Linked DNA regions of Sus scrofa. The protein of the gene in region 1 interacts with the protein of each later gene in a pairwise test. Links are inferred from orthologs where the notes say so. Each region holds a gene or a part of one and is shown in the gene's direction. Other genes may lie near its edges.

Evidence for each region. The genes of interacting proteins can lie anywhere in the genome.
Region 2: the proteins of EPM2AIP1 (region 1) and C6H1orf50 interact in binary tests that used the Homo sapiens proteins (3 or more experiments, as listed by UniProt). The two-hybrid records come from large-scale screens. The link is inferred for Sus scrofa from reciprocal best matches to the Homo sapiens genes EPM2AIP1 and C1orf50.

Annotation. Positions count from the first base shown.
Region 1 is NC_010455.5:21,876,614-21,880,662, forward strand, and holds the start of EPM2AIP1 (EPM2A-interacting protein 1), read left to right. Parts: upstream 1-1,249; 5' UTR 1,250-1,532; coding exon 1,533-3,359; 3' UTR 3,360-4,049.
Region 2 is NC_010448.4:168,661,580-168,665,079, reverse strand, and holds part of C6H1orf50 (uncharacterized protein C1orf50 homolog), read left to right. Parts: coding exon 1-87; intron 88-644; coding exon 645-776; intron 777-1,391; coding exon 1,392-1,592; 3' UTR 1,593-3,500.

The DNA of each region.
Region 1 (4,049 bases):
CACGTAGGCCGGCAGCTACAGCTCCCATTAGACCCCTAGCCTGGGAATCTCCATATGCCCTGGGAGCGGCCCAAGAAATGGCAAAAATAAAATAAAATAAATAAAATAAAATAAATAAAATAAAAAAATAAAATTAAATAAAATAAAATAAATAAATAAAATAAAGTAAAATAAAATAAAATAAAATAAAAAATAAAATAAAATAAATAAAGTAAAAAAAATAAAATAAAATAAATAAAATTAAAAAATAAAATAAAATAAAATAAAATTCAGGAGTTCCCATCGTGGCTCAGGGGTTGACGAAACCGACTAGGAGCCATGAGGTTGCGGGTTCCATCCCTGGCCTTGCTCAGTGGGTTAAGGATCTGGTGTTGTTGTGAGCAGACGCGTCTGCTACCTACCTGTGGTGTAGGTAGCAGACGCGGCTCAGATCCCGCGTTGCTGTGGCTCTGGCGTAGGCCGGCAGCTACAGCTCCGATTGGACCCCAAGCCTGGGAACCTCCATATGCCGCGGGAGCGGCCCGAGAAGAAAAAAAAAATTAAAAAGGAATTGTACTTCTGAATGTATACAGAATAAGCAAGAAACTGACGCCCTCTGAAGGATGAAGAGAGGGGTGTTTTTTCTTCTTAAATGTAAAAAGCTTTTTAAACGTTTAAAAAGTTGCATCTTCTGCACATATAATTTTAGAATTTCTCTTAGTTGATGGCACCATTAAAACAATACTGTATCGCCCTCTCTTTGTGCCCCCATCAACCCTAAAGTCTCGAAGGGACGCTCGAGGACCCGGGAGAGAGGAAGGCAGGACCCCGGCCTCCCCGCGGCGGCGGCGCGCGGCACACCCCTCCACTCAGGGCAGAGAGGCGTGTCCGCGCCATCCTGAGCAGTGGCCCGTTAGGTTCTAAGGAAGCCTGGACTCCTCCCTTCGTACCAGTTCTCAATCATCTCCTTAATGGCATTAGCCGGCCGCTGGATAACCTCCCCTGCCGCGATGCGGTTCACCACTGTCTCGTCCAACCGCCGGATAACTCCCGGTACCTGCGACATTTTGGCGCCAGAGCAGGCCGTGTAACGGTGAGACGCTCACTGGAAGGGCTTTCAGCCAATCTCCTTAGAGCTTCGCACCCACATCCTTCCAGCAACACTGCTGACGCCGTCCCGTCCCGCCCTCTAGCGGCAACACCACTTCCGGGACAGAGAGGTACTGATTGGGCATCTTGAATGCCAGTCAAGTTCTTAGCTCCATGATTCCTGTTCTCTTAGCCCTCCTTAGGCGGCTTTAGTGCACTTTGCAGCGAGAAGGATATGCGCCTGCGCGCTAAAAATCAGTGTCCGCTCTTCCTATTGGCTCATGCTTGCGGCAGGGGAATACGAAATCTCCAGCCAATAGGAATCAAGGTGCCGGAACCCCAGTGGTTTCCCCAGCTGGGGTGATCTGGCGCAGAGCGGAGTTGGCGCTTGGGGATCGCTCCTGCTCCTCCCCTCTCCTTGCGGCCTCCGGGAGGTCGGCCCAGATCCAGTGGTCTCCCGTGAGATGTGGATGACGCCCAAGAGGAGCAAAATGGAAATCGAGGAGCCTCGGGGTTTCCAGGCCGAGTGGACTCAGCGTTACCTGGTTGTGGAGCCTCCGGAAGGCGAAGGCGCCCTGTGCCTGGTCTGTCGCCGCCTGGTCGTAGCCAATGGCGAACCCGATGTCAGGCACCACTACGAGGCGGAGCACGATTACTACGAGCGGTATGTGGCGGAGGGCGAGCGCGCGGCCCTGGTGGAGCGTCTGCGTCAGGGCGACTTGCCCGATGCCGCCCCGCTCACCCCGGAGGAGAGAGCTGCTCGTGCAGGCCTCGGGCTCACCCGCCTCTTGGCCTTGAAGGGTCGCGGCTGGGGTGAGGGGGACTTCGTGTACCGGTGCATGGAGGTGATGCTCAGAGATGTGCTGCCTGATCACGTAGGCGTTATGGATGGCATTGATTTATCTCCGGAGATCACGCAGCAGAGGGTCCTAGACATTAACCAGAATCTACGCAGTCAGCTTTTTAACCGAGCCAAGGACTTTAAGGCCTATTCCCTTGCGTTGGACGACCAGGCTTTTGTGGCCTATGAGAACTACCTCCTCGTCTTTGTCCGCGGCGTGGGCCACGATTTAGAGGTGCAGGAAGAGCTTCTGACCATCATCAACCTGACTCAGCACTTCAGTGTTGGTGCCCTCATGGCGGCAATCCTTGAGGCCCTGCAAACTGCAGGGCTTAGCCTGCAGCGGATGGTTGGACTGACCACGACCCACACTCTGAGGATGATTGGTGAGAACTCAGGGCTGGTGTCATACATGAGAGAAAAGGCTGTAAGCCCCAACTGTTGGAATGTTATCCATTATTCGGGGTTTCTTCACTTGGAACTGTTGAGCTCCTACGATGTGGATGTTAATCAGATCATAAATGCCATATCTGAATGGATAGTTTTGATTAAGACCAGAGGCGTTAGGCGGCCAGAATTTCAGGCTTTACTAACTGAATCGGAATCAGAGCATGGTGAAAGGGTTAATGGACGCTGTCTGAACAATTGGCTTAGAAGAGGGAAGACCTTAAAACTAATATTTTCTTTAAGAAAAGAGATAAAAACATTTTTGGTTTCAATAGGGGCAACAACGGTCCATTTCACAGACAAGCAGTGGCTTTGTGACTTTGGCTTTTTGGTGGATATTATGGACCACCTTCGAGAACTCAGCGAACTATTGAGAGTAAGTAAAGTCTTTGCTGCTGCTGCCTTTGACCATATTTGTACCTTTGAAGTTAAGCTGAATTTACTTCAGAGACATATCGAGGAAAAAAATCTAACACACTTTGCCGCCTTGAGAGAAGTTGTTGATGAGCTTAAAGAGCATCTTCAAGAAGATGAAAAAATACTTGATCCTGAAAGGTATCAAGTAGTGATCTGTCGCCTACAAAAAGAATTTGAGAGACATTTCAAGGACCTCAAGTTCATTAAAAAGGACTTAGAGCTTTTTGCAAATCCATTTAGCTTTAAAGCTGAATATGCACCTATTTCAGTAAGGGTGGAGCTAACAAAACTTCAGGCAAATACTAATCTTTGGAACGAATACAGAACCAAAGACTTGGGGCAATTCTATGCCGGACTGTCTGCTGAATCTTACCCAATTATCAAAGGGGTTGCCTGTAAGGTAGCATCCTTGTTTGATAGTAGCAAGATTTGTGAAAAGGCTTTTTCATATTTGACTCGAAACCAGCACACCTTGAGCCACCCATTGACAGACGAACACCTCCACGCCCTGTTTCGGATTGCCACCACTGAAATAGAGCCTCAATGGGATGATCTTGTGAGAGGAAGAAATGAATCGAATCCATAAGCTTTTGTAGTACAACACCGAAACACTCAACAAGAATCCAACTCTAAAAGCAAAAATATGTTTGATTTTCAACTTTACTAATTTGGATTGTGGGAGAGTACCATGTTTTTTCACCCAAAGTGAAAAAACTTTCATCGCAGACATTTTTCACAATTCAAATGCTTCAGACAATTTTTTTTTCCTCTTTTCAAGAGGCAGCATGAGACTGAAACATGCAGATACCTTTTTTCAAAACTTGGTGGCAGAGTCATTATCTTTTGCTTTTATGATATAATTGTTTTTTAAAAAGTTCAGTATTAATCATGTGAGTTGAATTAGGAGTCTGTTTTTAAGACGTTTCAAAGAAACTTTAGCTCTTATTTTAACAAAGCGTTGAGATTCTGATGCGTATAGTCTGAAATTATCAACTCCTTAAATGTATGTTTGAGCCAGTTTGCAGAAACTCACATTAACAAGTGCAGAAGTTTCTGAAAAGGAAGAACGTACATACAGAGGAGGTATTTTGTCTAACTATCAAAATGTTTGAGACTATTTTTTTAGACACATTTCTGAGTCTGAAGTAAATACAGACATATTTTCTCCCTCTCACTCCCCCACCTGCCCTAGTGATAATGATATTACTCATAGAGGAAATAATCAATTAAAATTTTAGTCAGAGGAGCAAGAATTATTTTTAAATTGTTGGTTCAG
Region 2 (3,500 bases), on another chromosome or scaffold:
GCTGATGAATTTGTCCGAGCAAATGCCACCAACAAGCTGACAGTCATAGCTGAGCAAATAGAACATTTGCAAGAACAAGCCAGGAAGGTAAGTCTCGCTTTTAGGTAGGCTTTCATTTTCTTCATTTAGTTCCCAGGGTTGACTGAACTTGCGTATAATCATTGTAGCTTTTTCAGTACCTTCTAGAAATATAGAAGGGCTGAGTGAAATAGAATAAGCCCAAGAAGTTACGTGCAAGGGTTTTCACTGGGAGAAAGCTCAGTGAGGTAAAGCATTAAGAGGAAGAATGTTTGTTTGTTTGTTTTTTGTCTTTTTGCCTTTTCTAGGGCCTCTCCTGCAGCATATGGAGGTTCCCAGGCTAGGGGTCCAGTCGGAGCTGTAGCTGCCAGTCTGCGCCCGAGCCACAGCAACGCCAGATCTGAGCCACATCTGCGACCTACACCACAGCTCAAGGCAATGCCGGATCCCTAACCCACTGAGCAAGGCCAGGGATCGAACCCGTAACCTCATGGTTCCTAGTCGGGTTTGTTAACCAGTGCGCCACGATGGGAACTCCCTGTTTCCACATTTCGAGTGGGATGCTCATTGACGACGAGCGCCTGTGACTTCAAATACGTAATTGCTGACATCTCTGTGGTTCTCAGGTGTTGGAGGATGCCCGCAGAGATGCTGACCTGCACCATGTAGCTTGTAATATAGTGAAGAAACCTGGCAACATTTACTATCTTTATAAACGGGAGAGTGGTCAGAAGTATTTTTCCATTATTTCTCCAAAGGTAAGGGCAGTTCATTTTTGCACAGAAATCTCCTCTAGACTTTGAGAAATGCTCGGGTGTGTGGGGGTGTGTGTACAGGAAAATGTAGGCCTAGGGGTTAAGTGGTTTGCTAGAAAACTGGAGGTGCTGTGAGCCCAGACAGGACTCTAAAAAATATGCATGTACTTAAATCATTTCGCAGTCATTACCTCTGTTAAGGGGGCAATTTGGGAGCTCCAATCGTGGCTCAGTGGTAATGAACCTGACTAGTATCCATGAGGATGCAGGTTCTATCCCTGGCCTCGCTCAGTGGGTTAAGGATCCTGTGTTGCCGTGAGCTGTGGTATGGGTCGCAGATGTAGCTTGGCTCTGGTACTGCTGTGGCTGTGGTGGAGGGTGGCGGCCACAGCTCCAATTAGACCCCTCTCCTGGGAATGTCCATGTGCCGTGAGTGTGGCCCTAAAAAAGAAGAAAAAAAAGGGAGGGATCTGACGTGTGATGTAATGCTTTACAAGATTGATTCTGACTGGTCTGCCGTGAAAAAAGCCAAAAACGAAAATTGTGGTGCAGTTAGGGAATGAGCTCGGTTTCCTCACCTCCTGCCCTGCTCAGAACGGACTCCTTTGCCTCCTCCAGGAGTGGGGGACGAGTCGTCCTCACGACTTCCTGGGTGCCTTCAAGCTACAGCACGACTTGTCCTGGACTCCGTATGAGGACATCGAGAAGCAAGATGCTAAAGTCAGCATCGTGAACAAGTTGCTCAGCCAGCCCGCGGCGCTGCCTCCAAGCACAGAGCCCAGCTTTCAGGGGTTCATCTCCACCGGGAGCGGACCCTGACCAGCCCTGTCCCGGCAAGGACCTCTCACCTCCTTGTTGCCCGATCTCTGCCTTGACGTGGGGGTGGCGTGAGAATCACGGGCGTGTGGGTGACTCCGGAACTTGGGGAAGGTGGTCCTGAGCGAGTGTAAACGCTGTCACCACTGCTTTTAATCGAGATGGTAAAGCATCACGTCGTGTCTTCTGGGGTCCCCTCGGGGTCACAGGCGCCCAGCCAGCCAGTGTCGGAGGGCTGGCCCGTGCGCTGCCCTTCCCCTTGGTCTCCGTCTCTTCTCCCATAAGTTAGAGCGTTAGAGAAAGTGGGTTTCTTTTTCCTGCAAAAAGGTTGGTGCGTCGCTCTCTAGAGAGGACCGTTGTTAGTCTTTTTGTAACTGGAAGGCTCTGGATCGAGCTTGCGGGTGTTTGACAGTTGATGCCATCACTCCAGCTTCACATTCACCTGGGAGCCAGATACTGGGGGCTGGCGCATGATAAACAGCTTGGCCTGGCGAGCGAAAGAGGGTGTGATTCTGGCACTTCTGCACTGTGGGTAAGATTTGGCTTGTTCCGTCCTGCTCTTTCTGCTGAGCTGGGATGACCAGGTTTGAGGAGGGTCAGCCTCTAAACTCACAGAATTTAGACTTGGAAGGGGGGTGGGAGGCTGCCACTAACCGTGACATGAATCCACTGTCTAGCCTCTGTGAGCAGGAGGGCCAGTGTTCGGCCATCTGCAGCAGGAAGGATCCATTCAATGACAGCTTTAGAATGTTGTAGAGGAGAGAGTAGGACAGTGGGTGAGAACCAAGAAAAACAGCTAACTCGTTGATTATGAGTTAACTTAGATTGAAATTCATTTTGACCTGAATTTTTCAGGGATTAGCGGAGGCTGTTGGCTGAGCTCCTTTGGTTTTGACCGAGTTCTTGTGGGACTCGACCCCCTCACTGTCTGTCTGTTCAGTGCAGTTGACTAAGTTGACTAAGTTGACAACATGCTGTTCTTCTGTCAGTGCCATACAGTCTATCACAAGGTGCCATAAAAGGAGTGAGGGGAGTTCCTGCTGTGGCACAGTGGGTTAGTGGTCAGCTTGTCTCTGTGGGGGCACCAGTGCGATCCCCGGCCTGGCACAGTAGGTTGAGGATCGAGCATTGCTGTTCCCTGTGGCGTAGCGTGAAGCTCCAGCCAGGATTTGACCCATGGCCTGGGAACGTCCATACGCTGTGGGTACAGCTGGGAAAGGGAGATAAAAGTGGAGGGGTGTAGTGAGATCTGGACTGGAAATCACAATTGCCCGCATTCCTCTTTGGGGGTGAATGTCCTTTGTGCTGCTCTGCTTGGCGATAGCACAACCCCGTGATCTTGGAGGCCATGGCCTTTCTTTGTAAGCTTTGCTCCTTGTGAGCTGTAAAGGGTCTGCAAAGACCTGGCGTAGGTTGGTGCTAGGTCCTGACGAGGTCACACAGGTGATGCTTGGTCACTCTGTTCATAGGAGGAGGCTGTGTGGAGTCAGCTCCAAAAGCCTCTGGCTGCTCTGCTGCCGGAAGTGGGGGACACACACACTCTCTCTCTCTCTCTCTCTCTCTCTCTCTCTCTCTCTCTCTCTCTCTCTCTCTCTCTCTCTCTCTCTCCCTCCCCCCCCCCCTCCCTCTCTCCCCCACTAATGGTACAGTAGTTGATTCTAACCGCAGAAAGTTTCTCAGATTTTCAGAAGGTCCTGACTTGCGTGGTAATGACACATTTTGCGTAGGTGCTTTATTATTACCTACTGCTGCATTAGTTATCACAAACTCAGGGGCTTAAAACAACGCACATTTATTATTTCAGAATTTCTGGGTCAGGAGATGAGGCACACTTAACTGAGTCCTCTGCTTCAGGGTTTCTCACGAGGCTGAGGTCGAATCACGGGCCCGGCTTGTTTGTGCCTTTCTCAG